6 linked regions of the Callithrix jacchus genome follow. The protein of the gene in region 5 purifies or fractionates together with the protein of the main gene of each other region. This does not show direct contact. Links are inferred from orthologs where the notes say so. Each region holds a gene or a part of one and is shown on either strand. Other genes may lie near its edges.

Evidence for each region.
Region 1: the proteins of GSK3A (region 5) and PRUNE1 purify together in Homo sapiens (affinity purification with mass spectrometry; 3 studies listed by BioGRID and IntAct, with this or other methods). This does not show direct contact. The link is inferred for Callithrix jacchus from reciprocal best matches to the Homo sapiens genes GSK3A and PRUNE1.
Region 2: the proteins of GSK3A (region 5) and GSKIP purify together in Homo sapiens (affinity purification with mass spectrometry; 7 studies listed by BioGRID and IntAct, with this or other methods). This does not show direct contact. The link is inferred for Callithrix jacchus from reciprocal best matches to the Homo sapiens genes GSK3A and GSKIP.
Region 3: the proteins of GSK3A (region 5) and FRAT1 purify together in Homo sapiens (affinity purification with mass spectrometry; 4 studies listed by BioGRID and IntAct, with this or other methods). This does not show direct contact. The link is inferred for Callithrix jacchus from reciprocal best matches to the Homo sapiens genes GSK3A and FRAT1.
Region 4: the proteins of GSK3A (region 5) and AXIN2 purify together in Homo sapiens (affinity purification with mass spectrometry; 3 studies listed by BioGRID and IntAct, with this or other methods). This does not show direct contact. The link is inferred for Callithrix jacchus from reciprocal best matches to the Homo sapiens genes GSK3A and AXIN2.
Region 6: the proteins of GSK3A (region 5) and NBR1 purify together in Homo sapiens (affinity purification with western blotting; 3 studies listed by BioGRID and IntAct, with this or other methods). This does not show direct contact. The link is inferred for Callithrix jacchus from reciprocal best matches to the Homo sapiens genes GSK3A and NBR1.

Annotation. Positions count from the first base shown.
Region 1 is NC_133519.1:10,905,634-10,910,472, reverse strand, and holds the start of PRUNE1 (exopolyphosphatase PRUNE1), read right to left. Parts: upstream 3,176-4,839; 5' UTR 3,035-3,175; coding exon 2,996-3,034; exon of another isoform or gene 2,646-2,995; intron 1-2,645. UniProt on the Homo sapiens protein: Phosphodiesterase (PDE) that has higher activity toward cAMP than cGMP, as substrate. Plays a role in cell proliferation, migration and differentiation, and acts as a negative regulator of NME1. Plays a role in the regulation of neurogenesis.
Region 2 is NC_133509.1:131,198,484-131,203,530, reverse strand, and holds the start of GSKIP (GSK3B-interacting protein), read right to left. Parts: upstream 3,180-5,047; 5' UTR 3,090-3,179; coding exon 3,010-3,089; intron 1-3,009. UniProt on the Homo sapiens protein: A-kinase anchoring protein for GSK3B and PKA that regulates or facilitates their kinase activity towards their targets.
Region 3 is NC_133513.1:90,146,367-90,151,243, reverse strand, and holds FRAT1 (proto-oncogene FRAT1), read right to left. Parts: upstream 3,496-4,877; 5' UTR 3,320-3,495; coding exon 2,480-3,319; 3' UTR 928-2,479; downstream 1-927. UniProt on the Homo sapiens protein: Positively regulates the Wnt signaling pathway by stabilizing beta-catenin through the association with GSK-3. May play a role in tumor progression and collaborate with PIM1 and MYC in lymphomagenesis.
Region 4 is NC_133506.1:123,779,746-123,784,148, forward strand, and holds part of AXIN2 (axin-2), read left to right. Parts: intron 1-370; 5' UTR 371-490; coding exon 491-1,305; intron 1,306-4,403. UniProt on the Homo sapiens protein: Inhibitor of the Wnt signaling pathway. Down-regulates beta-catenin. Probably facilitate the phosphorylation of beta-catenin and APC by GSK3B.
Region 5 is NC_133523.1:37,258,673-37,262,916, reverse strand, and holds the end of GSK3A (glycogen synthase kinase-3 alpha), read left to right. Parts: intron 1-88; coding exon 89-186; intron 187-266; coding exon 267-362; intron 363-780; coding exon 781-967; intron 968-1,306; coding exon 1,307-1,399; intron 1,400-2,611; coding exon 2,612-2,685; 3' UTR 2,686-3,290; downstream 3,291-4,244. UniProt on the Homo sapiens protein: Constitutively active protein kinase that acts as a negative regulator in the hormonal control of glucose homeostasis, Wnt signaling and regulation of transcription factors and microtubules, by phosphorylating and inactivating glycogen synthase (GYS1 or GYS2), CTNNB1/beta-catenin, APC and AXIN1.
Region 6 is NC_133506.1:120,771,194-120,776,109, reverse strand, and holds the start of NBR1 (next to BRCA1 gene 1 protein), read left to right. Parts: upstream 1-1,676; 5' UTR 1,677-1,806; exon of another isoform or gene 1,807-2,140; intron 2,141-2,390; exon of another isoform or gene 2,391-3,156; coding exon of another isoform or gene 3,157-3,198; exon of another isoform or gene 3,199-3,252; intron 3,253-4,916. Other genes in the region: uncharacterized protein LOC144582689, read right to left, coding at 3,157-3,198. UniProt on the Homo sapiens protein: Ubiquitin-binding autophagy adapter that participates in different processes including host defense or intracellular homeostasis.

The sequences.
Region 1 (4,839 bases), on a different chromosome or scaffold from region 5:
AATTTTAATGGAATGTCCTATTGTCCCTGTGGCAGAGGCTGCCGAAAATGTCTCTGGTGTCAAATGCTAAAAATGGGGTAGTAAGGGGAGACTTGGCTGGATTACCAGCTGTCTTTATCCTGTGCAGACAGGAGCATTCCTGATCTCCTGAAAGTTATAATTAAACTATAATTGAAGAGGAACATTCAAACTTAAGAGTGTATCTGTCCAAATCATCTCTCTTACACAAGAAACCTAACAGGGTGGCCTCTGGAGAACCAGATGGAGAGGTGAGAAGAAAGAGGATCTTTATCTTTTTCATTTCATATCCTTTTGGTATTTAAATTTGTTCATTAAGTGCACATTTACTACTTCTATAATTTAAAGCAATCTAGGCAGGGCATGGTGGCTCCACCTGTAACCCCAACACTTTGGGAGGCCAAGACAGGTGGATCACTTGAGGTCAGGAGTTCCAGACCAGCCAGGCCAACATGGTGAAACCCTGTCGCTACTAAAAATACAAAAGTTAGCCAGGCATGGTGGTGTACACTTGTAATCCCAGCTACTCAGGAGGCTGAGGCAGGAGAATTGCCTGAACCCAGGAGGCAGAGATTGCGGTGAGCCAAGATCGCACCATTGCACTCCAGCCTGGGTAACAAGAGCAAAACTACATCTCAAAAAAAAAAAAAAAAAAATTTAAAGCAATCTAAATTGTTGGCATCTACCAGTATGTCTTGCCATCAGTTCATCTGCTAACTTTCCTAGAGTCTACTTTTCTCATTTCTCCAGGCCCTGGGGGGGCTATGCGGTGATGAAAGCTCTACGGACACAATCTCACCTTTTACAAGTTCACAAGTTTGAAAAGAAAATCTAGATCTTGCTCCTTGGGGGAAGAATGCAGGGAGACAAAAGTTAAGATGCCAGCAATATTGGAAAAATCAAGTATTGTTCCAGCTTCATATTGCTGTAGAGAATATACTACTAGGGCCAGGCACAGTGGCTCACACCTATCATTCCAGCACTCTGGGAAGCCAAACCAGAGGGATTGCTTGAGTCCAGGAGTTCGAGACCAGACTGGGCAACATGGCGAGGCCGTGTCTCTACAAAAATACAAAAAATTAGCCCTGCGTGGTGGCACATGCCTATAGTCGAAGCTTTAATGGGAGGCTGAGGTGGGAGGATCAATTGAGCCTGGGGGGTGATCACACTACTGCACTCCAGCCAGGGCAACAGAGTGAGACCCTGGCTCAAAATAAATAAATAAACAAACAAATACAGAATAAAAATAGAGAATATACTATTAACCTGGGGGTGGGGGAGGCTCTGGAGGATACGTGCTGGAGAGTAGATGCATGCAAAGAAATAGCATTTGGTGAGGTTTCAGGTCCAAGTGCTCTTTACCAAATGGTGGAACAGAGACCAGTCATTTGTGTTACCTGGGGGGGGGGGGGGGGAATCTAAGTGCTTAGCACTTAGAACAGTGCCACAAAACTCTACATTAGTCCTCCAATAAGTGCCCTGTGGTGGAATCAGAGGTAACTAAAAGGGACTGCTTCCAAATGGCCTCATGCATTGAAATAATTTCCCCAAATTTGTTTTCCCAAGGAAAATGTGTAATTGGTGTTAAAATGGACCATCTCCCCAATTCAACATGAAGACAATTCATTTTATTCCAGTAGATATGTCTGTAGCAGGAATTAACTGACTTTCAGGATTTGTTAAGGACCAGAATCTGGGCCAGGCACGATGGCTCACGCCCGTAATCCCAGCACTTTGGGAGGTCACGGAAGGCGGATCATGAGGTCAGGAGTTTGAGACCAGTCTGGACAACATGGTGAAATTCCGTCTCTACTAAAAATACAAAAATTAGCCGGGCGGGGTGGCACATGCCTGTAATTCCAACTACTCAAGAGGCTGAGGCAGGAGAATCACTTGAACTCGGGAAGCAGAGGTTGCAGTGAGCCAAGATTGTGCCATTGCACTCCAGCCTGAGTGACAGATTGAGACTCTTGTCTCAAACAAACAAACAAACAAACAAACAAACAGAATCTGTCCCCCAGGAGAATTTGTAGAGTTTAAGATATCTAAAAAGGAAAGCTCAGCCAGCCATCTGTCTGGGTTTCTTCAGGGCAGAATAACTCAAAGTAGAGGGGCCCGGTGACCTCCTGGATCCTCTCTCTGGTTAGCTTTTTGCTGCTAACTGGGATAACAGCCTAATGCCTCATGACGGCTCAGCTGGGTGAGTCCAGCTGGCTCAGAGAGCACCACGCATAAGCCACAAAGCAGTCAGTAGTCATATTTATGGTTTTGATTGCAAACACTCTTTGTGCTTATCCCTTCCAAGTGGAGAATTTTTATGTCATTTCTGTGTGTTAAGGCCAAGGGAGAAACCTGGAGGCAAAGGAATGCTGGTTGTGGGTCAAGAAATATGCTTGATGGATTCTGTATGTTTGGCTTAAAAACACTGACTTAAAGTAAAATACCACGACCACTTCTAACCTAGAAATGAGTTCAGCCCGCCAGACAGAAACTGCCATTCAGAGGAAATAAAGCCACGAGCATCGGTTCCCTCCACACCCCCGAGGTTCACCTGGAGGCCAGTGGGCCAAGCGAGGCCTTAGGAGCGGAGAACTGAAAGAGGGGCGGGGAGTAAAGAATAAACACACCTCGCGGGGCTCGGCTGGCGGCGGCACAGTCCTGGTCCTTTTGACGGAACTGACCAAGACGACAGCAAGCAGAGGCTCAAATGCAGGACTCAGACCCAAGACTTCTCCCCGCTCTCGGGCGGACCCCCAAGGCGGGGCGCCAAAAACCGGGAGACTGAGCAAGCAGCATTCTCACGCTCGTAAGCTGGCTTCTCGCTCCTCATGCCCCAAATCTGATCGGGCCCCAACCCCCCTCCCCACAACATAGTGTTCCCTCCACACGGACCGTCGAGGCTCCCCCAGATCCCACGTCTCCGTCCTTCCTGGACCCCGTGCTCCATTCCTTACAGTCACAGACAGGGATCGGTTACCTGCAGAGCAGCTCGACAACCCTGCAGGTAGTCCTCCATGATGAAGCCCAAAGTACGCCGTCGCCCCAGATCGAGGAGCGGTTCCCCGGCGAATGCACCCCGCCCGGGACTCAGGGGCTAAAGACCAGAGTCAGGAGGCGGGACTCGAACCCGCCACACGGCGAATCGGCCTCCGACCCCGGGAGGAAGTGCGTAAGCGGGCACTCCCGAGCCCGGCGTCGCCCCGCCCCCAGCGGAGGCGGGGCTCTACGCCCAGAGGCTCCTGGGACGTCTTTCCGGAGAGGCCAAGGGGGCGTGGCGCTGGTCGTCGTGGGAAAGGTTGTCTCGCAGCTCCGCAATGGCCCTAGCAAGCGAGGGAAGGAGAGTTTTCTGAGGGATCAGTCGTTTGACAAACAAATGTGGATGTGTCACAGCGACCCATTGTTGTGGCGTCTGAACTTACCCTCTCAGATCGGGCTAAGTATAACATCTTTCCATATATCTCACCGAGCATCTGGTTGACATTTTAAGTGACACTTGGCAAAACAGATATTCATCTTCTTTCTGGAAATTCTCTCCTTAACCGAACTGACTCAGTCGCCACCAGTTTTGTGGTTGTTCATGTTTGCAGAACATTAGAATAATCTTTGATCCCTCTTGTTTGCTTAATACCTGCAGTGTCCTGCCAACTCTTGCTGCTTCTTCCTTTGCTACTCTGTAGCCTGTTTTTTTTTTTTCCTACTGCCTCGTTAAATATCTTCTCCTTCCTTTCTTGGACGGTTGTAACCTTGGCTTTTTGCTCTCTGCCTCCCTAATTGTTCCAACTGCTCTTTCAGCCTTCAGAGTGGCTTGAAGTTTCATCCTGTGGCAGTCCTGTCCATAGAGTCTAGGGAACCCTTCAGAATGCAGAGTTAGGTTCCAACCTCCCTTAACCGCCACTTTCCAGCCGCAGGGTAGTGCAGGTACTGCAAATAAATGGAAGCTCAAGGTCAAATATTCCCTCGTTTATTTATCTGTCCCTATATTTCCTACCATCAACCTCACACCAGCTTTTCCTGCTTCCCCAGCTGTAAATTGAGGGGAGGTGACTGATGAAAAGCTGAGGCCTGCGGTGGAACCAAGATCCAGGGCACAGGGGTGTTGGATCTCCTGCCTGTTCTACGAGTTCTTTCCCTGCTGTGCGCTCTTCCCATAGCCTGGGGCTTCTTCCACACCCTCTGCGCTCTACCAGGTGCACAACCCAACCAGTTTTTTCTAGACTTAAAAAAAGATACGGCAAGGACTTGAAAAGGAGCCCTCTGGAGGGCTCCAGAGGGAAAAGAGCTGGGTTGTTTTTTCTTTAATTTAACATAACTCATTAACATTGAGTAATATATGCAAATATCGTGCTCTTTTGTCCTGTTTCTGTGGATCTGGAGCAAAGGACTGCCATACCCAGAGAGAAACCTCAGATCCAACAAGCTGCTTCTGTCCAGCCCGGCTCCTCCCCACTCAGCAAGGGCACTTGCTCTTCCCTATTCTCACCAGAGAGGCACAAGCGCTCCGTCCCTTCCAGAGGCTGGCGGAGGGAAGAGAAAGGGTCTGTTGTTTTTCTCTCCTGTTTCTCTCTCCCTCTCTGCTGATCACCAAGCTGCTGACCGGGTCATAAAGCCCTGATGGAAATCCACCAGTGCTGGGCAGGCCCCTCCTCCTCCAGGGAGCTTGTCCTTGACTAATTTTTCTTCGTCCCGATGAGAAAAAAAGAGAGAGAGAGAAGAAAAGAAAAACCACAAACTTCCTTTGAAAACCAGCTTGTAGACAGGGCCTGGAGTGCGTGCCCTAGACCCGGCGACTCAGGAATCCTGAAGACGCTCTTAGTGACCTGG
Region 2 (5,047 bases), on a different chromosome or scaffold from region 5:
TCTGTCCTAGCTGCCTTGACCTTCTTGGGTTTCTAGCTCCATGTCCTCAATTCAGGGAGGCCATCAGGCTTTACTTGGGTTTTTCTTTCCAAGGCCATGCCTGGAGACTCTCTAGACAATACAGTGGGGCAACAGGCTCACCATATTTGTATGTTGCTTCTCAGGGATTACTGCCCATTACCTGATGCTCAAAAGTCCTGAAACCATTGTTTCATATATTTAGTCCATTTCTTCTTTTTTTTTTGAAATTAAGGTGAGAGGGTCCTTGTTAGTCTATCTTGGCCATGTAAGTGGAAATCCCAATAATCAGTTCTGAGCTAACTTTGCAAGCCTATTTCATCGGTTTCTCTTTCACTGACTTTGGTCTCTCCTATACTACTCTGAACCAGCTTTTACCATCTTGCTGTTAACTTCATTATTAAATACATTTTTGACACAGGCTCACCATATGTTTTTAACTTAAAAATGTATTTTAACAAAATACTTTGAAGACTTATGATCCTCTAAAATTCAGCTCAGACAAACCTATTTCAGGATTCTGTATCTGATCTCAAGATGGTCCATCACTATATCTCCCTGAATAGTATCTCTACTTTGGTACTGCTGTACTTAAGCCTCATGGCAAATAATTTTTGCGTCTGTACTACTGCAAACCCATGAAAATGGGAGCGTGTTCCAGCACAGTGTCTGGCATAAAGCAGAATGTCACTGAATATTTTCTAAATGAATAAAACACAGAAAAAATTCTAACTCTCTGCTTCTTAAGTATGATACTCAGCTCTGTGACAAAGAGTATACAAAGATGCAGGACAAACATGGCAGATGTTCTTGGAAAATATACATCACTGTTACTATACCAGTATCAGGAAATATTACAAAACTTCCTAGAGTTTTAAATACAAAGTACACAAATATTTGGATGTCTCAAGCCACATCCTCTTTTGGTTATACCCCTACACGTCTATAGTTTCCTTTGCCTCTAAATCTAAAAGGTAGGTTTGAATGAGGAATATTTGCATGAAAAATCAGCTTGAGAAGTATAGCCTAACCAAAGGAATTAATCCAACAAGGTGAAAATTTCAGGCACTGTGTCTTGCAGTATGAAGTTAACAAGCAGAGGCAGGAGCTGGGAAAAGGGTACCAGGTAAGGGCTAAGGTTAGGTTTTCTCTAAGTTTTTGCAACTCTTTCCGCTTCAGTTATGCTATCGCTCTCTGTTAAAAAATAATTATTGATAGTTTTGGCTGGGCGTGGTGGCTCATGTCTATAATCCCAACACTTTGGGAGGCTGAGGCTGGTGGATCACTTGAGGTCAGGAGTTCAAGACCAGTCTGGCCGACATGGCGAAACCCCATCTCCACTAAAAATACAAAAAATTAGCCGCGTGTGGTAGCGCATGCCTGTAATCCCAGTTACTAGGGTGGCTGAGGCGAGAGAATCTCTTGAACCCAGGAGGCAGAGGCTGCAGTAAGCTGAGATCTCACCCCTGCATTCCAGCCTGGGTGACAGAGTAAGACTCTGTCTCAAAAAAAAAAAAAAAAAATTGATAGTTTTAATTTTTTAGTATTTGAATTTTCCTGGAGAAAAGGAAATGTATTATGTTTTCAACAAGAAAAAACAATTTAAAAATTGCAGTATTTTGGAGAGTATAAAGTGTAGGAAGCAGAAATCCTAGAGAAACCAGGTTATTATTCAGACACTTAAAATAACTGGTAGCATCAGTTACAGATAAAACAACAGTTCTGAATTTATCTGCATTTCCAACAACTGTTTTGAAAGGAAAAATGAATAAAGTTTATTATCAGCAACATTAAAAATTTAGGCAAAGTTAAAACCCAATTTAACCTTTGTTTTCTGTAATACATAACATTAATCTGTTTTCAATAGCTTAGAGACATATTTATTTTGAAATAGAAAATTTAATTCACAATCATGTATAGTATCACAAATATAAAGTGTTTGTAATTCAGTAAGAATGGCTATTTTCCCATGTATACAACGGTTTATAAAATTACTCTGCACCTCATTTTCAGCAAGGACAGAGATATATATATTTAGTAATTATAAATCTAGACAACATAATTGTATTGTGCTTATCTTAGTCTGTTTGTATTGCTGTAAAGAAGTACCCCAGGCTGAGTCATTTATAAAGAAAAGAGGTTTATTTGGCTCATGGTTCTACAAGCTGTACATGAAGCAGTGTGAGAATCTGCAATGGCCTCCAGCTGCCTCCACTCATGGTGGGAGAGGAGCCAGTGTGTGAGGGAGGGTGGGTGTGGGGAAGACAGACAGACAGGTAGGTAGGTAGGTAGATAAAATAGATAGATACATAGAGAGGAGGAGAGCCAGGTACTAGCTAGGTAGGTAGATAGAGAGGATAGATAGATAGATAGATAGATAGATAGATAGATAGATAGACAGATAGATATAGAGGAGGAGAGCCAGGCTCTTTTCAACAACCAGTTCTGTCAGAAACTGAGTGAAAACTCACTCATTCTTGGGAGAAAGACATTGAGCCATTCATGAGATCCCTACCTCTCGCCCCTCAAACTGGCCCCTCCAACTGGCCCCTCCCAGCCCTGCTCCCACCCCCTGATCCAAACACCTCTCACCAGGCCCCATCTCCAACAATGCAGATCAAATTTTGACAAGAGACTTGGTGGGGCCAAACAAACCCCATCCAAACCACAGCCTTCCACTCCTCGCTTCTCAAATCTGATGTCCTTCTCACATTCAAAATACAATTATTCCATCCCAATAGTCCCCAAGTCTTGTTTTGTTCCAGCACCAACTTAAAAGTCCAAAGTCTCATCTGAGACTCAAGGCAAGTTCCTTAAAGCTATAAGCCTATAAAATAAAAAACAAAGTTATTTACTTCCAAGATACAATGATGGAACAGTCATTGGATACATGCTGTTTTCCAAAGGAAGAAATTGGCCAAGAGAAGGGTGAGAGGCCCCATGAGACTCAGAAACCCATCAGGGCAGACATTAAGCTTAAAGTTCCCAAACCTGCTTTGAGCATGTCCTGCATCCTGGGCACAGTGGTGTGAGGGGTGGGCTCCCAAGGCTTTGGGCAGTCCCAGCCCCATGGCTTTCCTGGGTGCAGCTCATGCGGCTGCTCTCATGAGTTGGAGTCAAATGCCTGTGGCTTTTCCAGGATGAAAGTGCATACTGCCAGTGGCTCTGCAATTCTGTGGTCCCCATGGCAACCTTGTTCCCATAGCTCTACTAGTTAACACTCCAGTGGAGACTTTCCATCAGAGCTCCAACACCACATTTCTGCTTGGCACTGTCCTAGCAGAATATTTCTGTGACACCCAGGCCTTCTGATACACCCTCTAAAATCTAGGTGGGAGCTGCCAAGCCTCTGCCACTCTTGTATTCTGTGTCCTGCAACACACAGAATCTGCAAAGGCGACAGCTTGCAGCCTGAGCAGTACCTGGAGCCCTCTGAAACAGAGCTGGAGCTGGAGCAACCAGGATGCAGGGAGCACGTTCCAAGGTGGCACACAACAGTTGCACCCAAGGCTTTGACCATGGAAACCATTCTTGGTCTTCTAGGCTTCTGGACTTGTGATGAGAGGGACAGCTTAGGAGATTTCGGAAATGTCTTGAGGGACTTTTCCCCATTGTCTTGGCTATTAGCACCTGGCTCCCTTTTATCTGAACTAACTGGATTCTTCTGAAAATGCTCTTTCCTTCTTTACACAAGGCCAGGCTGCAAGTATTTCCATATTTTTATGCTCTGCTTTACTTTTAATTATAAATTCCAACTTCAGGTCATTTCTTTCCTCCCATATTTGATTGTGAGCTATTCAAAGCAGCCGTGCCACTTCTTGAACTCTCTGCTGCTTAGATATTTCTTATACCAGATACTCTAGGTCATAACTTAAGTTTGGCCTTCCACAAAGCCCTAGGGCATGGAGGCAATGCAGCCAAGTTCTTTGCTACAGTGTAACAACGGTGATGTTTGCTCAAGTTCTCAGTAAGACCCCGTTTCCACCTTAGCTCTCCTCAGCATGGCCTTTACTGTCTCTATTTCTATCAGCACAATCACTTAACCAATCTCTAAGACATTCCAAACATTCTTTTATCTTCTTGTTTTTTGAGTCCTCCAAGCTCTTTCAGCCTCTGCCCATTACCCAGTTCCAAAGCTGCTTCCGAGTCTCTTTATATCAACATCCCACTCTTAAGTACCAATTTTCTGCCTTAGGTGCTTCCACTCAAGACAGAAGGGGAGCCAGCATATGCAGATCACATGGTGAAGGAAGGAAAAAGGGAAGGGAGGAAGGGAGGGGGAGAGGGAGACAGAGAGCGAGTGGGGAGAGAGAGGGAGAGAGAGAGAAAAAGTGAGTGAGGAGGTGCCAGGTTCTTTTCAACAACAAATTCTCAGTGAACTAAGAGTGAGAGCTCACTGGCTCTCGGGAGAAGGGCACTGGGCCATTCATGAGGCATCCACCACCAGGATCCAAACACCTCCCACCAGGATTCACCTCTAACACTGGGGATCAAATTTCAACATGAGGCTTGGTGGGGCAAAGTGCTTTTGTTGATTAACGAGGGAAGTCAGGATGAAGAAATACAGTGTTAATTTGAGTTTTAAAGACTGTAAATAAGCAGAAACACTGGCTGGGTGCCCTGGCTCATGCCTGTAATCCCAGCACTTTAGGAGGCCAAGGTGGGTGAATTGTTTGAGTCCAGGAGTTTGAGACCCGCCTGGGCAACATGGTGAAACTCTGTCTCTACAAAAGAATATAAAAATTAGCTGGGCATAGGGCACAAGCCTGTAGTCCCAGCTACTTGGGGGCTGAGGTAGGAGGATCACTTGAACCTGGGAGGTTAAGGCTACAGTGAGCAATTGTGCCACTGCACTCCAGCCTGGGTGACAAAGTGAGACTGTGTCAGAAAAAAGGTGGGGGCAGAGCAGCAATACACCCTGTAAACCTTTACTTCAAAACCAGAAACTATAAATGAGACTCTAGTAAAAGACCCTTAAAAACTGAATGTTGAAAAAAAAATCCAGGTATTACAGTTTCTCATTTCTACA
Region 3 (4,877 bases), on a different chromosome or scaffold from region 5:
TCATGGCTCACTACAGCCTCAAATTCCCGGGCTCAAGCAATCCTCCTGCCTCATTTATTTTTTTGTAGAGACAAGGTCTCACTCTGTTGCCCTGGCTGGTCTTGAACTTCTTGGCTCAAGCAATCCTCTCACTTTGGCCTCCCAAAGTGCTGCTAGGATTACAGGTGCCAGCTACCAGGCCTGGCTCACCTTTTATTTCATTATCCCTATTGTATGGATGAGGAAACTGAAGACCACAGAGGTAGAGCAACTTGTCCAAGGTTCCCTTCCCACTTCAGAAGTGCACTTAAACCCTGGGTACTCTTTCCTCAGAGGGAGGAAATTAGCTCCTTCCATGAGGGAACAGACTGAAGTCAGAACTAGGATAGACATGGGCTGTTATGTCACTGCTTAGGGACAGAATGGCATAAATGCCCCAGGGGCAAAGAGAGGAGTCTTTTATTAGTTTCTAGCCAGCTTTCCTACCACCAGGCTCCCATTGTGAGCAGTTCCCTAATCAAGAGCTGCCCCAGCCTTAAGGGCCACCCTGTGGAACAAGTGCACTTAATGGCCACAGTAGAAAGAACAAAAAAAAAAAAAAAGCCTCCCAGTCTGCAGTGACTGGCTGATCTGATGTCCTTTGCTAATAGAGGCAGCTTTATAACACATCTCCATCACTGACTAGTAATCCAAAAGGCTCCGAGGTTTTAACGAATGGGATTGGTCCAAAACCTGACCTCACTTTCATTTAATTTCATGCCAGCACCAATACACACCCAGCTGCGGAGACCTTGTCTAGCTAGTGAGCTGCTCAGACACAAAGGCGCTCTAATTACCATCCGCAAGCCAGGCTGACAGGGCTTTCAAGTGTTTTCATGTTTATGGAGATCAGAGAAATGTGTTCTGTACATCTTTTTCACCAATGGCAAGTATAAAATAAAACCAAACAAAAAACCCAACGCATTTATTCAAAGCAGGCATTTCAGTTAAGTTAAAATCCTATAATCAGGACAGCCACAACTCCAGACACTCCGGTGCGAAGTGTAGATATGTCAGTAGCCACATCTGGATGATGAACAAGCCATTGACTATAAAACTAGAACAACAGCACAGTCCCAGCGCCTTCAATGAGCGAACGGTATGTTCCAAGCACTTCACCATGGTTCGCAACGGCAAAGCCTGCAGCTTCTCCATTTGGAGGGTCACATTTTCTACTCGGTTTCCTGCACTTACAAAGGCCAGCTGGCATGACTGGGGGAGGGGCAGAGGGAGGAAATCAACTCCGTCTATCCAGGGAATTGCAGCTGTTACTGCAAATGGCCCCGGAGAGCCCATTATAAGCTGCTGTGCTAGGCTGTGTGTCCCTGGAGTGCCCATCACATGACGAATCCCTAGCCCCCAACCCAGGCCCCCAGGATCCCTGCGCCACCGAATGAGTAGGACAGCAGAGCCGAGGGGGAGAGGAGGAACCCAGGACTCCGTCTAGCGAGTTTCCGTGAAAGCCGGGGCCTCGGCCAGGGGCGGTGGTCGCCCAGGGAAGCACAGGCGCCCAGCACGTCCGCGCTTTCCCACACCCGCGGTGGCGGCGGCGCGCGTGTCCTCAGGAGACTCCAGCACTTGCAAAATACTGCGCTCTTCTCCGAACACGGGCAGAACCCGGCTACTCTGCCCCGCAACCCAGTGCGTGCCCAGGAAACAGTGACCTTGAACCCTCGGAGAGGCAGGCCGGCTGTGAAAATACACTTTAGAGAGGGCGTGGGGTTTACCCCGCGCCTCATTCTACCCTTCCACCACCATTCAGCACCCCCCGCCCCCACCTCCTGTCCGCACCTGTGTGGTACAGCCTTCCCTCCCACTCTGAGAAAGGCAGACAATTGCAAAGAGAGGGCGGGGGTTACTCCTATTCAATCCCCAAAGGGTCCCTTCATGGCACCGGCTATTTGATATTAAGCAGCACCTCCAAAGACACAAGATGTTTTTTTTTTTAAGTGTCGAAAATATTCAAGTCCGGCAGATTGGGGTGCACCCTGAAATTATCCACTCATGTTTTCCTCCCACAAAGTGGACCAGGAGCCAGCTCTGAAAAGGTGAAAGCAAGTAACTGGCATCTCATCCTCCGTGGTTCCAGCGCACCGCGATCCCGAGAAGCGTGGGCTGTGGCCACATGGTCGCCGGCTGGAGGGCACTGAGAGGCTGCACAGAACTGCAGGCTCCGCGGCCAGGTCGGGTCACGCCAAATAAGGAGTTCTACTGACTTTTAAGCTTGGGGTGCACTCTGTAAAATCTGCCTTAAATAGGGCCAAGTCCTGCATTCCAAATATTTTGGCCTTCGACCCCAGTGTCCCGTGAAACATTCGCGATTTTTCGGTCCCTCATCATTAGCTTTTTTTCTCTCGCTTCCAAAAGCCAGAGTTCTCCATCAGCCTGAGCAGAACTGCAGCCCTCAGGGGAACCCCTTGCCCTCCAGTATGAGGCTGGCGCTGTGACCACCCCAGGCGTGTTAGCTGCCAGGGACAAGAACGCCGTCGCCAGTTCTGGGCTGCGCCCTCCCGGACGCGCCTGGGTCACTGCAGGCCGCGCGAGGGCTGCGAGGCGAAGGGGGTTCATGCACCGGGGCCGACAGCGGTCCCAGGAGCGGGCGTTGAGGAAGCTTTGCACGTAACTGCAGCCGTCGAGAATGAAGCCTCCGCACGGCCTCCTTGATGAGGTTTCCAGAGAGCACTAGCTGCTGTAGGAGCCGGTGCGGGTCGTCGTCGCCTGTGCGGGTTTCGGGTTGGGACCCGCGTCGCTGCTGCAGGCGGCGGGAGGCGGCGGCGCCCCGGAGCCATCCTCGCCGGCACGGACCCGACAGCGGCTGTGGGACGCCCTGCTTGCCAGCCCCCGGAGGCCCATCAAGGTCGGCCTGAGGGGGCAGTGGGGACAGCGCGCTGGGGCCTGCCGCGAGCTCCGCCACGCAGTAGGGCGCAGCGCGGCCCCGCACGCGGCCGCGGTCCCCCAGGGTGCTGCGCAGGGCCCCAAGGGGCGCCGGGCCCACTGTCTCCATCGACACCGGCGGCAGCAGCAGCGGCACTGCCGGGGGCCGGGCCTTGTCCGCCCGCACCGCTGCAGCCAGGGGCCCCGGGGCTCGCAGCGGCGCCCCCGGGGGCGCGCACGGCGAGGCCGGGCTGTCCTGCGCCGGGTCCAGTTGCAGCGTCTCGCCGATCTGGGCCACCAGCCGGTCCACCTCGCCCGAGCCGCCCAGCGCCACCGACTGCTCCAGCAGGAGGAAGCTGTCCTCCTCCTCTTCCTCCCCCTCCGCCTCCTCGCCGGCTTCCTCTTCCTCCTCCCTCCGGCAGGGCATGGCCCCCTGTCCGGGCACCCGGAGCTGTGCGGGCGTCGCTGGAGGCTTAGCTGCCCGTGGGCGCGGTGGGCCGCGGCAGAGCGGGCGCGGGGCTGAGGCCGAAGCCCGGGCCGGGGCGGACACGGAAGCCGGAGCCCGCCAGGCACTCGAGCCGCGCGCCTGCCGCCGCGGGAGCCGGAATCCTGCCGGCTCGAGTTGATTTGTAAACAATGGGTGACGTCGTGCCGGGCCCTACCACCGCGCCGGGGCAGGGGTGCTGTGCCGCTGTGGGGCGGAGCTCCTGCGGAACTAGGGGTCTGGGTGAAGCAGGGCTGCCGTCTTCGCTCCTTCGCTAAGGGTGCTGTCTGGAGGGGCGCCCTGGGGACCTGATCCTGGCTCCCGCAGTAGGGCGCTGTTGGCATTTCCAGAAATGGACACCAGCGTGGACCCCGTTGGTTTCTTCCACACACAAGCACATACACTAACACACACACACCCACCCACACACCCCTTCTCTCCTTGCGTCAACTTAACCGGTTTTTAGCGTTTGCGCTTTTGAGGTCCAGCAGGCGGGCATCTGGAGAGGATGGAAAGGAAGAGGAGTTAGGCTAGAGATTTGTACGGAGATTATAGAGAAACGAAGCTGACAGGAATGGAAAGGAAGAAGGGGACCTTGTCGTGCAATGGGGGTGGCAGAGTTGGAAATGGCAAAGAAAGGCCACAGATGACTGTTTCTTGATAGAGATCCTGGGCGATGGGGGCCTGGACTGGGGTTGGCGTTGCTGGAGAGGAGAAAAGGAAGTTGCCAGTCTTTTTTTTTTTTTTTTGGAGGAGCCTCGCTCTGTTAACCAGGCTGGAGTGCAGTGGCACGATCGCCAGTCACTATAACCTCTACCTCCTGTGTTCAAGCAATTCTCCTGCTTCAGCCTCCCGCGTAGCTGGGATTACAGGCGCCCACCACAAGCCGGACTAATTTTTGTATTTTTAGTAGAGACGGGGTTTCCCCATGTTGGCCAGGCTGGCTTTGAACTTCTGACCTCAGGTGATCCACCCACTTCAGCCTCCCAAAGTGCTGGGATTACGGGTGTGAGCCACCGCGCCCGGCCTAGGTTACTAGTCTTTTTTGTTTGTTTGTTGAATGAAGTTTCATTTTTTTTGCCCAGGCTGGAGTGCAATGACACGATCTTGGCTCACTGTAACCTCTGCCTCCTGGGTTCAAACTCTTCTCCAGTCTCCCAAGTAGCTGGGATTACAGGCACCTGCCACCATGCCCAGCTAATTTTTGTATTTTTAGTAGAGACAGGGTTTCACCATGTTGGCCAGCCTGTTCTCGAACTCCTGACCTCAGGTGATCCGCCGCCTTGGCCTCCCAAAATGCTGGGATTACAGGCATGAGCCACCAGGCCTGATCTATTTAAATGTTTAAAATTAAAATAATTAGTAGCAGTTTACAATTTGTGCTTTTTAAATCTCTGTTTCACAACCTGTAAGCCTCATACATTATTTATTTATTTATTTTTGAGACGGAGTTTCACTCTTGTTACCCAGGCTGGAGTGCAATGGCGCGATCTCGGCTCAC
Region 4 (4,403 bases), on a different chromosome or scaffold from region 5:
GGCGAGGCTCCGGGTGAGCTACCCCAGCGTGCGCCCTGGCGGAGTGGGTTTTGGGAAGGTTGTGTCTTACACCTCCGATGTCCCCCTGCCGCCCCCAGCCCTTGCCCTCCTCTCACCTTCCCCTCCTCTTTCCCAGCAGCTCCCTTCCATCCCCAACCCCGAAAAGTGTGCAGGGAGCTCAGATTTCGCTTTTGAAAAGCAGCGTCTGATACTTTAGATGACCACCTCGCAGATAGCTGGGTTGCTTGATTTGAATTTGAGGGGTTGAAAAGCCTGTTTACTTTCTAGCTTTGATGTTGGGTAGATCTGGTTTTGATTAGATCAATACCCTTTTCTCTCTCCCCACCTCCCCGCTTCCTTTTCTTTCCAGAGAGGAGGCTCAGATGAGCCCCTGCTGACTTGAGAGAGACAGACAGACCACGCCGATTGCTGAGAGGAACTGGAAGAAGAAGAAAAAATTCCCAAACTCAGTGGGAAGAGCTCCCTCACCATGAGTAGTGCTGTGTTGGTGACTCGCCTCCCGGACCCCAGCAGCAGCTTCCGTGAGGATGCCCCGCGGCCCCCAGTGCCAGGGGAAGAAGGGGAGACCCCACCGTGTCAGCCAGGGGTGGGCAAGAGCCAGGTCACCAAACCCATGCCTGTCTCTTCCAACACCAGGCGGAACGAAGATGGGCTGGGGGAGCCAGAGGGGCGAGCATCCCCTGATTCCCCTCTGACTAGGTGGACCAAGTCCTTGCACTCCTTGTTGGGCGATCAAGACGGTGCTTACCTCTTCCGGACTTTCCTGGAGAGGGAGAAATGCGTGGATACCTTAGACTTCTGGTTTGCCTGCAATGGATTCAGGCAGATGAACCTGAAGGATACCAAAACTTTACGAGTAGCCAAAGCGATCTACAAAAGGTACATTGAAAACAACAGCATTGTCTCCAAGCAGCTGAAGCCTGCCACCAAGACCTACATAAGAGACGGTATCAAGAAGCAGCAGATTGATTCCATCATGTTTGACCAGGCGCAGACCGAGATCCAGTCGGTGATGGAGGAAAATGCCTACCAGATGTTTTTGACTTCTGATATATACCTCGAATATGTAAGGAGTGGGGGAGAAAACACAACTTACATGAGTAACGGGGGACTGGGGAGCCTCAAGGTCGTGTGTGGCTATCTCCCCACCTTGAACGAAGAAGAGGAGTGGACTTGTGCTGACTTCAAGTGCAAACTTTCGCCAACTGTGGTTGGTTTGTCCAGCAAAACTCTGAGGGCCACAGCAAGTGTGAGGTCCACGGAAACAGTTGACAGTGGATACAGGTAAGACCTGGACAGGGGCTGGTGGGGCGGGTGGGCAGTTGATGTGAACTTTGCAGATGTTTTGAGTTAAGTCCGATGGATGGATGGATGGGTGTGCTGCAGAGACTGACAGAGGGTTGTTGAGAGCTGGGACTGCTGGCCATGAACCCTTTTTGATCTTGCTTTTTGTTGTTTAAAGAGGGGAAGAGTGATGCACACATCTAAATACCTGCAGTCTTTCAGTGCTGACATCAAACAGTGGCAAGCAGTATACACTAATGTGGGTTACTTATTATCCCGGGCTAGTGTCTCAGAAGGGGTTGAGAAAGAGAGAGAGAGCGAGCGCTCGAGAGGGAGCAGCTTTTGATGCCTCTGAGTCACCAGATCCACTAAGCACCGGTTTTGGAAGGGGTCACTTCACCACTAATCAGTAGAGGGTGGAATTAATGTGGCTAGGAAGGCAACTGGGTTGTGGTGGAGGCGCAGGCGCGGGAAATAACGTGTGCACCCATTGAGGGGTAAGTGGGTTTTTTTTTTTTTTTTTTTTTTTTGAGCTTTTCTGTTAAGAGCCAGCGATTGGCTTAACTGAGCTTGTGGTTCCCTTTGTAGAATTAGATATTTACCCAGCAAGAAAGGCCTCTAACTAGGGAAGGTCCTGTGATTTTCCTAAATGAAGGACCCTTGGCTCTAGAGCCTGCTGGTATATTAATCCAGGTTTTAAATGCACATGAGTCGGAGGGGCAGACTTCAGTTGATTATTTTGTTAGTGCTGATGGAGAAGAGATCTTGGCCCGGGAGCACTGGGGCTCTGGAGTACGTTCTCTTTGAGGCTTCAAAGACAAATAGTTCTTTGCAGAATGGCCAAGTCTTAAGATTCTTGACCTTTGGAGGCAACTTCAGACCTCTTGTTAGAATGATTTTTTCTGTTTTCTTCCCTTCTCCCTATTTCCAAGTATCCAAAAGGAGAATGAGCCTCTTAATTCTGGGGTGTGGTTTATGACAGGACAGGGGATGGGACTTCACTTAACTGCTATCTGAAGGGTTTATCTTGCCGTCTGTGTGGATTTCTCTGTGTGTTAGGGGCCCAGGATGCGATCTAATAGCTGCCTCTGGATTTCCCTTTCTCTGTAGGGTGTGGTCTCTAGTTTCCAGCAGCAGGAAGAGAGGTGGGCACCAGATGGTTGATCTGGAGCCACTCAGGGTAGCCGGGTCTGAGCCTAGCAGGCCAGGATTTAGGGGCGAGTTGACTGCTGGTGAGGAGGGGAAGGGCTTATTCTTCAACCACCAGGGGGCGCACTTATGGCTTGGGAACCAGTTTTACTCAGCCATCTGGTCTACACTTAAGTGGAACGAGGTTGACTTTTGCAAGGAAGCACAGGGTACCAGGGAGTTGTTTCGGCATCTTTATGCTTATGGAGTCAGGTTATTTGGGAGGAAGATCCTGGGTCTGGCCTCTGCAGCAGGTCAGTCGCTGGGCACCTGCTATGGGTGCGCGCACTATTATGAGAACACTTGGGTGAACCTCTGGCACTGACCCCCTTGCCCTCTAGCCTGGCAGCCAGAGCCAAGACTGCTGAAGGGTCATGGTAAAGGCTGCTTCGCTGGGGGCCTCTTGATTGGGGCTTCTGTGTTTCCCATTGTGGGGACTGGAGTGTCACCTTAGTAGATAGCACAGTGTGTGGTTTTGGACACCCTCCCCAGGCAGGGCTCTGCTGTGAACCCTCCCCTTTGTGGGTGAGCAGTTGAGACCCATCCTGGGCTTGCCTCACTGGGATATGACCAGGATTCAGCTCCTGAAGCTTTTGAGATCCAGAAGCTCCTGTCTTCCAGGGCTGCCTTGTTGGCTGTGAACTCTTTATCATTGATAAAGAGGTGACAGCTTGTCATTGACCTGAGAGTTTCCATGCTAGATTCACGTGTGCCTTCTCCCACCTTAGGGATGAGATGAAGCATCTTATGGACTCATGTGTCTTAACTCATGTGTCTTAACTGGACATATTTAAAGAGAATTTTACGACAGAGCCAGATGATCTAGCTTCATTTTAACGTGCAAGACATTCGAGGGTGTACAGAGTATATTGAAAGGTCTGCTGAGTTATTCAAGGGTTTGCGTTCCAGCCTGGTCCACTTTGTGTTGAAGCCTTCTGAACCACATGTGCCTATCTGTAAAATGGGTGGGCCCCGTTGCTTCTGTCTGTATCAGAGGATTGTTGTTACTAGGACCAAAATAATAAACATGAAAGCCTTTTGTAAAGAGAAATGTTGTGAACAGCTGCTAAGTGTTATAATTAGTATAATTAATAATGTTAATGTAAAAAGGGCAACCACATTGGGATGTCACCTTTGAAAGGGCGACTCTTGGCTTAGCCTAGTTTTCATTGTAATGTTATAGAGTGGCCCCCTGTCCCCCATGCCTCAACTTCCTTTTTAAACTGCGGTCTTTTTCCAGATAGTTCTTAGAATGTAGGGATCCCATCTAAGGTTTTTAAATTCACTCCTTCCCTCCTGCACACATTAACTCATCCTGCAGAGTACCTGGTATCTGGGATGGGTTTAATAAGTTAGTAAAATGAATGAAACAGAAACGTGAGTCCTGCTGAGGAGGGTCTTTCTTCACCGGCTGCTTCCAGCCAGATGCCCAGGGCACTGGCCAGCCTTGCAAGCTCTGTGTTTACCGTGGGCACTCAAAGGAGCCTCGTTTTTAACAACTTGTTTGTGTCCTTACTGATTTGGTGTCAGGTTTAATATAAATAGTTGGGGCGGAAGAGCAGGAATTATCCTCAGAGGGCAGGACTCTGGGCTGAGTGGTTGAGGGGGATGCCTGGGCTTTTGACGCTCTCTATAAATAACCTAGAGCAAAAGCCACTTGTTGGTAGGACACATGTAAAAACCCTGGCACACAAACACACGCACAGTGTCGAGGTGTGTGTGTGAGGGGGTTGTGGGATTAGGCGCTGGGCCTCACATTTATTTTGGGGAGGGGAATATGGTACTGGGTGCACAGAGCCCTCCCTGTGTCCTCGTCTTTCTGCACGGGGCCCTTGTGTGTCCTGCCCAGGGTGGGGCTCATCTGCCTCCCCTCGGGCCCTCTGCTCTGGCTTCCCTTAAAAGAAGCCAGG
Region 5 (4,244 bases):
ACTCTCAGGATGGCCATGAGGAATAGAAGTACTGGGAGGTTGGTGGCCCTACTCGCCTAGCCCTGATACTCCCGTCATTTCCCCTCAGATGTTTGGTCAGCTGGCTGTGTATTGGCGGAGCTCCTCCTGGGCCAGCCCATCTTCCCTGGGGACAGTGGGGTGGACCAGCTCGTGGAGATCATCAAGGTGAGGGGTGGGGCTGGGGTAGGCAGGGGGTGGGGCTGAGGGGTGGGGCCCTTGTCTCAGACCCCTCCCTCTTTTTACAGGTGCTGGGAACACCAACCCGGGAACAAATCCGAGAGATGAACCCCAACTACACGGAGTTCAAGTTCCCTCAGATTAAAGCTCACCCCTGGACAAAGGTGGGGCAGGGCTCGGGGCTTAGGGCAGCATGGCTGAGAGCCATTCCCCCTTGGAGGTCAAGTGTTCTGTGGACCTGGCTTAGGAGGATTTGAGAGTTATCCAGGGATCAGTAACTTCCATGCAATTTCAAAGTTTATGGCATCTTAAAAGTCGAGAACTCTCAAGTAAATTCAAGATTCTAATTATTATGGAGGGGAAAAAGCTCACAGCAGGGCTCATACAGTCCGGACCTGGGCTGGCTGCTCACCCGATACAAACTACTTTCCATAGTGGTTGGGCCTCAGTTTCTCCATTTGGAAGGTGGGGGAGTGGGAAGTAGCCAGTCATACTTGCCACAGGCACTGTGGCAGTGAGATAACAGGAGTATGCTAGTGACCAGGTCATTTCACCCTCATGACCCCTGCACCCATTCCCCAGGTGTTTAAATCTCGAACGCCGCCGGAGGCCATCGCGCTTTGCTCCAGCCTGCTGGAGTACACCCCGTCCTCAAGGCTCTCCCCACTAGAGGCCTGCGCCCACAGCTTCTTTGATGAACTACGATGTCTGGGAACCCAGCTCCCTAACAACCGCCCACTTCCCCCTCTCTTCAACTTCAGTGCTGGTGGTGAGGGCATAGCCTGGGATCTGGGGAGCAGGGCGGGGGCAGTCAAAGATTGTTAAGAGCTTGGTGTTGAAGCAGGAATGGGGACCTAAGGGTAGGGTACAAGGTGGGGGAGGGGCTCAGGAAAGATGACCCCTGGATTCAGGGGTAATCGAACCTGTTTCAGTTATGCTCTACTATGATTTGCTTCGTGCTAGGCCTTTTCTGGTTTTTCACTGAGAGAGGCCTGTGGCTGAAAGTGTCCACAAACAACTGGCCTTGCCAATAGCTGGGTTCCCATTTGGTGCCCATCATAACCCTGCTGTAGGCTACCCTGACTGGCATGTCAATTGCTGTTTCTAGAACTCTCCATCCAACCATCTCTCAACGCCATTCTCATCCCTCCTCACTTGAGGTCCCCAGCGGGCACTACCACCCTCACCCAGTCCTCACAAGGTAAGTGGGGGCCATCTGCTGGGGGTTAAAGCATTTCTCCATCTGGGAAGTGTGAAGCTGTTCTCTCAGTCCTGGGTTTCCTGAATGTATTTTTAAATCGTTGAAATCTTGATGGCATACAAAGCACATCTTAAACATGTGAATGACCATCTTTAAAGGGCATTCTTGTGCACATTTGTGTTTAAATGCCAGTGGGAAAGCCAGAGAAATAATGTTTGGCCTGAACAAACAGAACGTTGAATTTGTTGCCCAGGTGTTCTTTTTTTTTTTGGAGACAGAGTTTCCCTCTTGTTGCCCAGGCTGGATTGCAGTGGCTTGATCTCAGCTAACTGCAATCTCTGCCTCCTGGGCTCAGGTGATTTTCCTGCCTCAGCTTCTAAGTAGCTGGAATTACAGGTGCACGCCAACACGCCTGGCTGATTTTTGTATCTTTAGTAGAGATGAGGTTTCACCATGTTGGCCAGACTGGTCTTGAACTCCTGACCTTAGGTGATCTCCCACCTTAGCCTCCCAAAGTGCTGGGATTACAGGTGTGAGCCACTACTCCTGGCTATGTTGCCCAGGTTTAAAAATAGGGGCCATTTTATGTAAAAATTCAGATTTCCTGTTTCTCTCGGGGAAGAAAAAAATCAGATTGAGTAGCAGTGGGCCCACCCATCCTTCTGACAGTAGACAGTGGGGGCTGGATTCCAGCTGCTCCCCACCCCCTTTTGAGATGGGTCCAGCCTCAGCTGGAGCACGGTGGCACAGTCTTGGCTCACTGCAACTTCCTTCTCCTTGGCTCAAGTGATTCTCCTGCCTTAGCATCCTGAGGAGATGGTATTACAGGTGCACACCACCCTGCCCAGCTAATTTTTGTATTTTTAATAAGAGATGGGGTTGCACCATGTTGGCCAGGCTGGTTTGGAACTCTTGACCTCAAGTGATCTGCCCACCTCGGACTCCCAAAATGCTGGGATTACAGGTGTGAGCCACCGTTCCCGACCCAGCTGCCCCCTTATATGGAGCCTGGCACTCTGGTGTATGACTCAGTTACCATCCTGGCCCTTTGGCACTCAAGTTTGCAACCCTTGACCTAAAGTGACAGCTTTAAACTTTTAATGCAGCATCTATAACAAGAGAATTCCTATTCTTCGATTGGGGGAAGGGGTGTCTGAAAGGCAAAGGCTAATTCTCTGCTCCTTCCCTCCCTCCCTCCCTCCCTCCCTCCAGCTTTAACTGAGACTACAACCAGCTCAGACTGGCAGTCAACCGATGCCACACCTACCCTCACTAACTCGTCCTGAGAGCCCCACCAACCACCCTTCCACTTCCATCTGGGAGCCCCAAGAGGGGCTGGGAAGGGGGGCCATAGCCCATCAAGCTCCTGCCCTGGCTGGGCCCCTAGACTAGAGGGCAGAGGTAAATGAGTCCCTGTCCCCACCTCCAGTCCCTCCCTCACCAGCCTCACTCCTGTGGTGGGCTTTTTAAGAGGATTTTAACTGGTTGTGGGGAGGGAAAGAAGGACAGGGTGTTGGGGGGATGAGGACCTCCTACCCCCTTGACCCCTCCCCTCCCCCAGGTCTCCACCTCCTCCAAACCCCCTCCCCTCCTGTTTCCCTTGTAAATAGAACCAGCCCAGCCCCTGTCTCCTCTTCCCTTCCCTGGCCCCTGGGTGTAAATAGATTGTTATAATTTTTTTCTTAAAGAAAACGTCGATTCGCACCGTCCAACCTGGCCCCGCCCCCTCCTACAGCTGTAACTCCCCTCCTGTCCTCTGCCCCCAAGGTCTTCTCCCTCCTCACCCCACCCTGGAGGGCCAGAGGAGTGGAGAGAGCTCCTGATGTCTTAGTTTCCACAGTAAGGTTTGCCTGTGTACAGACCTCCGTTCAATAAATTATTGGCATGAAAACTTGCTTTCTGTCTGGCTGCCTATTTCCACTGAGGTGGTGGGGGCTCCCAGGTGGACTGTTCCAGGACAGGCGTGAGCTGCGTCTCAGGTAGGGCTGTCCAAAGGCCTCACACGGTGGCTTTCTCAGCATGTGTGGTGATGAGCTTCGTCTGGCTTATCTGCTCTAGAGGCCTGGGAGGAGCCTGCCCCATGACCCAGCATAAATTATCTGCTTCTGCTTAGGGAGGGTGGGATTAACCTCCCAGAAATGGTGAGTGAATCGGGGATCAGAGAAGCGAAGGCCATGGAGCTTAAGAGACAGTCAGGACTTGAACAATAGACTGTCTTAGCCCAAGCTGCCTGCTACTCTAGGGTCTAGGGGGACATGAGGTGATGAGGAGTTACTCAGGCCAAAACTTAGCCTGCTTGTAGACTCTTTTGTTGGGTGGCCATGGCTGGAGGCAGAACCCTAGAAGATTCCAAGCCTTCATTTCCAAGTCTTAAACAGGGCACCTACCTGGTCCACCTCTTAAGGATGTTGGGAAGTGACAACTCTGGAAAGGTTGGGGCAGAGAGCTTGACTTTTACCCACACTTAACACATGCTGGGGCCAGATGGTGAGGCATGGGTGGAAGGAAATGTTATCTTCTCTACATGGCACCAGCAGTGAGTGTGGCCAGGATGCCCCAGAGGTGGAAGGGGGCCTGGGGAGGAACACTGGGTATGCCCCCTACTGGATTCCATTGGTGAACAAAAAAGGAGTTTCAAATGTTCCAGATGGAGTGAAGCGACTATTTGGGTGGAGTGTGGGCTCTCCAGTCTGCTTGCCCCACTCGAGGGGCATCTTTACACTACCTGGGATAGGACAGACCCTGTCCCTTCCTTGCTCAACACTACCTGGATTTTACCTGGTTTGTAGAATGAATGAATATACAGAATAAGCAGACTGACAAGGGGGAGGATGGCTGTTCTGGG
Region 6 (4,916 bases), on a different chromosome or scaffold from region 5:
TAGAGACGGGGTTTCACCATGTTGGTCAGGCTGGTCTCAAACTCCGTGATCCGCCCATCTCAACCTCCTAAAGTGCTGGGATTACAGGCGTGAGGCACTGCTCCTGGCCACCAGCCGGTGTTCTTATGGACACGTGTGACATGGTAAAAGCCCCATAAAACTGCATACCTCAACCATACCTCGGCTTTCTTTTTTCTTTTTTTGAGACGGAGTTTCGCTCTTGTTACCCAGGCTGGAGTGCAATGGCGTGATCTCGGCTCACTGCAACCTCCGCCTCCTGGGTTCAGGCAATTCTCCTGCCTCAGCCCCGAGCAGCTGGGATCACAGGCACGCGCCACCGTGCCCAGCTAATCTTTTGTATTTTTAGTAGAGACGGGGTTTCACCACGTTGACCAGGATGGTCTCGATCTGTTGACCTTGTGATCCACCCGCCTCGGCCTCCCAAAGTGCTGGGATTACAGGCTTGAGCCACCGCACCCGGCCCACACCTCGGCTTTCTATTGAAACTGCTCTCTGTGACTCAAATGTGACAGGCAAGCAGTCCAAACCCATGCCATCTTGGCCCCTGCGACTTGTAATAAGTAATTAAGGTCTGTAATTTCCACCCTACCCAGACAATGTGTAAACAAATGCTAATCTTGACTTTTGTGAACTACTTAAGTAACAATCAGAATGTCAAAAGTCCTCTGGCCCTCGGAGTGTCCGGAGCCCCTCACCCTCATCTTCGCCTAGGAATCCACTGGAATGTCCAGAGCCCCTCACGCTCATCTCCACCCAGGATGATTCACAGCATCCACTAGCCCTCAGAACGTCTGAAGCCCCTCACCCCCAACCCCCGCCCTTTGTCCTCACTCCCGAGGTGGTTTTACGGGTATAAAAGGTCTTGACACCCTCCTTTGGGGGCCACGGGTTGGAGAGACGCGAGTCCTCGGTGGCCGCCGGCAATAAAGACCCTGCAATTTGGCATACTTTTGTCTTGGTGTTGACTTTCTATGCTCAGGCCAGTACAACAGACGTTGTTCCCCTCGAGGCACATTCCAGTTCCTATAACTAGGATTCCCCCTCAGACACACCATGCCCTCTTCCTTATCCTCGGTGCTTCCCTCGCGATCTACAAACTGCCCCCCGCCCCAGGGTTCACAACGCCTTACGCCTCTTAGGTTCCACCGTCCTCCCACCCCCAGCCTAAAGAATACCTATCTGTTCTGCTTTGGAAATTCACTCTCGCCCGCCAGTCCCCCGGAGCATCGCTTGGGACCCTGTCCCTTTCCCGGGGTTCTATTACCTTTACCCAGAGCAGAGCGTACAGGCGTCAGGACCTCTTGGGACCAGGGGCCCAGTTATCTGAGAAACCTCACGCCCCGTCCACCATTCAGAGTCTCAGCGAGCTCACGCCGCGCAGTCGCAGTTTAAATTTATCTGTAATTCCCGCGCTTTTCCGTTGCCACGGAAACCAGCGGGCTGCCACTGAACAACAGCCTCCTAGAATTCAAGACGCATTACAGGAAGGGCGAGACAGAAAGAGCCAAGCGTCTCTCGGGGCTCTGGATTGGCCACCCAGTCTTCCGCCGAATGGCGTAGAAAGAAAGAGACGGAAAAGGAGGCACTCTTACCTGGGTTTGCCAGAAAGCGCCCGCCCTCTCTCCGCTACGCTAACGCTTGCGGCTTATTACGTCACAGTAATTGCTGTACGAAGGCCAGAATCGCTACCAAAGACCTGAATGTGAGCGCGAGATAGCGTTCAAAGCTGTCGTAAGAGCTTCCGTTCCCCCACTCTTTCCGCTCCAATGGAGGTCTCCTGTTTAGGTAAATAAAAGGATTGTGGTGGCGGGGGGTGGGGGACGGCGATGGAAGAGAACTACAATTTCCACCATGCATTGCGGAATGAAAGGCCTTCGCCACCGTGTTTCTTGAAAACTGTAGTCTTATGGAGCTGACCATCCAATACCGAAGCGGGCACAATTCTCACGGAAATCCAGTGGATAAATTGGAGACCTCCGAGCCCTTATACATGTCAACAGTTATGGATTGGAGTGTTGTTATGTTTTGTATCTTGAGAGCGGAGACTAGGCCAAAAAAAAAGATACGTATAACTCCTAGGAAGACTACAATTCCCATCCAGCCCCACTAGTCCTCTAAGGTTAGTTGCCTGTGGGATCGCAGGGGCTACCGTATTTGCCTGGGGAAGGGGAAATCCGCTCTGACCCACGTCTGCGCACTCGTAGTTCCGCCCCTCGACCCCAATGTTTGTTATTGTTGTTCAGTTACAGGTTGCTTCTGCCCCGCCCCCGTCGATACAATCTCCACCAATCAATGGGGTGGTTGTTTTGAGGGACAAATGGCAAGATCCAATCATCTTGTCGGAAACTCAGAGAACCAGGGGACTAGTTACTGTCTTTATCCGCCATGTTAGATTCACCGCCACAGGGATAGCGGCAGAGCTGGCTGCGGACGGTCCTTGCATTGGCCTCTGGCAGGCGCCCCCCGGGGGCGGGAAGCTGGTAAGGAAGCAGCTGCGGTTACCTAGGAGTGGGGTCACGTCACACTAAGAGGGTTTGGGGAAGTTCAAGAGAGGAATCCTGCAAAGAAGACGGGGCACTTTTTCCGTGTCTCGGGACACCTAATCTTTTTAGTGATTGGATGAGAGAGCCCTTCTTGTTCAGAGGGACCGAGTGGGCGAAAAGCGCTGGAGAGGTGGAGGGTCTGTGGTTCAGAACATCCGGCTTCAACTGGTGGAAGGCCACGACTCCCCCGCAGAAAGAGGGCCTAGGCAAAGAAATTGAGAGGGAGTCCTCGGGGTGGTGACACCGTCTTGGGAACATGGAGTGCTGGGAAACGATAACTGGAAGACTAGGATGAAGTCTGCAAGTAAAAATATGACACTACCCACATATTCTCATCCCATCCTTCTTTTTTCGGGACCCTCTTAAAGCGATCCCTTTGGTTAGGGACCTTCGGTTTTGGAAAGGCACTATTTTTCCTTTTTATCAAACACCCAGCTTTCAGGACACACTTTTTTTATTTTTTATTTTTCTGAGACAGAGTCTCGCAGTGTTGCCCAGGCTGGTCTTGAACCGCTCCTGACCTCAGGTCACACATTTTAAAGCTTCGATAACTTGGCTTGTACAGGCCTCTGGTGGAGACAGTAATCAAAGCTCAGGTTTCCAGGTCTGTTTCATTAAAGGGATTTTGTTGAGGCTGGAAGAAGAAAAAAATCGACGTAGAGGAAAAGCTAACTTGTGTCAAGCAAAGGTGAGTCAGTGGCATGGACTTAAAATAATGCCAGTTACGAAAGCCCTGGGACCCAGCTATCTGTCTTACTGGCTTTAGACCTAAGGGGCAGATGGGGTTAACCATAGCTTTGGTATTTACAGAAGTTCAAGATTAATGTTCTTGTGGAAAGAATCTTTTTACATGTCAGCCAAAGATAGTTTCTTATGAAGACCTGGATATGGTCCAGCTAAGCTAGAATCTCCCACTTCCTGTTTTCTCTTAGTTGGCCGACCAGCTGGAGGAGCTCCAGAGTATCTAAATTAATTTCCAATTGTGTAATTTGAGAAACAGAGGAAGATTCATTTCCTTAAGTGTGTTTCTTGAAGTTAGAAAGTGATATTTCAGAATATCCACTTTTGGCAGACTGAGTCAGTCACTTCATTTCCCTGACTTTTTGCCTAAAGTCCTGGGGAATTGAAAAAAATTCTGCCCAAATCTTAAGGACCCCAAGAATTACATTTCACATGAATGAATACTAGATGTCAGCAGGATGGTTGTTAACACGGTAGTATTGTTTTGGTGGTGAACTTGAGTCTAGGTAGAAACAAAGAATGAAGAAAATTGAAGGATAATCGTCTTAGGGTTTCACAAAAGTGCCTGATCTTCACAGAGTTCAGAGTCCTTAAAATGATAGTCTTAATTGTAGTGTTTTACAGGGCAATGCATTACATTGTGGAAAACAGTACAGGTTTATGGTTTTACAGATTGGTTTATTATTTAAAACCTTTTTTAAATTTAACTTAATTTTTTAAGGAAATGGGGTCTGGCTTTGTTTCCCAGGCTGGTCTTGAACTCCTAGGCTCATGATCCTCCTGCCTCAGCCTCCCAAAGTGCTAGGATTACAGGCAGGAGCCACTACACCTAGCCAATTTTTTCTTTTCATTTTTATTTTTATTTTTGAGACAGAGTCTTGCTCTGTCACCCAGGTGGGAGTGCAGTGGCATGATCTTGGGTCACTGCAACCTTGCCTCCAAGGTTCAAACAATTCTCATGCTTTAGCCTCCTGAGTAGCTGGGATTACAGACCTGTGCAACCACACCCACCTAATTTTTGCTTTTTTAGTAGAGACAGGGTTTCACCACGTTGGCTAGGCTGGTCTCGAACTCCTTGACTCAAGCAATCTGCCTGCCTCTGTCTCCCAAATGCTGGGATTAAAGGCATGAGCCACTGTTCTGCGGATTACCTGAGTCGAGAGTTCGAGACCAGCCTGACCAACATGGAGAAACCCCATCTTTATTTTTAAAAAAATACACTTAGCTGGGCGTGATGGCACATGCCGGTAATCCCAGCAACTTGGGAGGCTGAGACAGGAGACTCGCTGGAACCCGGGGGGCAGAGGTTACGGTGAGCCAAGTTCATGCCATTGTAGTGGAGTCTGGGCAACAAGAGTGAAACTCAGTCTCAAAAAAAAAGAATTGTGAATTTCTTAGATATGCTAATGGTATCTAGACTTTTTTAAAAAATTCTTATCTTTTAGAGGTACATACTCAATTATTGATGGATAAAAGGATGGATGTCTGGCAAAATAATCTAGTAAGGAAAAAAGAGTATTGCTGTTATAGCAAATTGGTCCTGAGTTGGTAATTATGGAAGAAGCTAGCTTATGGGTCCATAGGGATTCATTATATTATTCTCTCTACTTT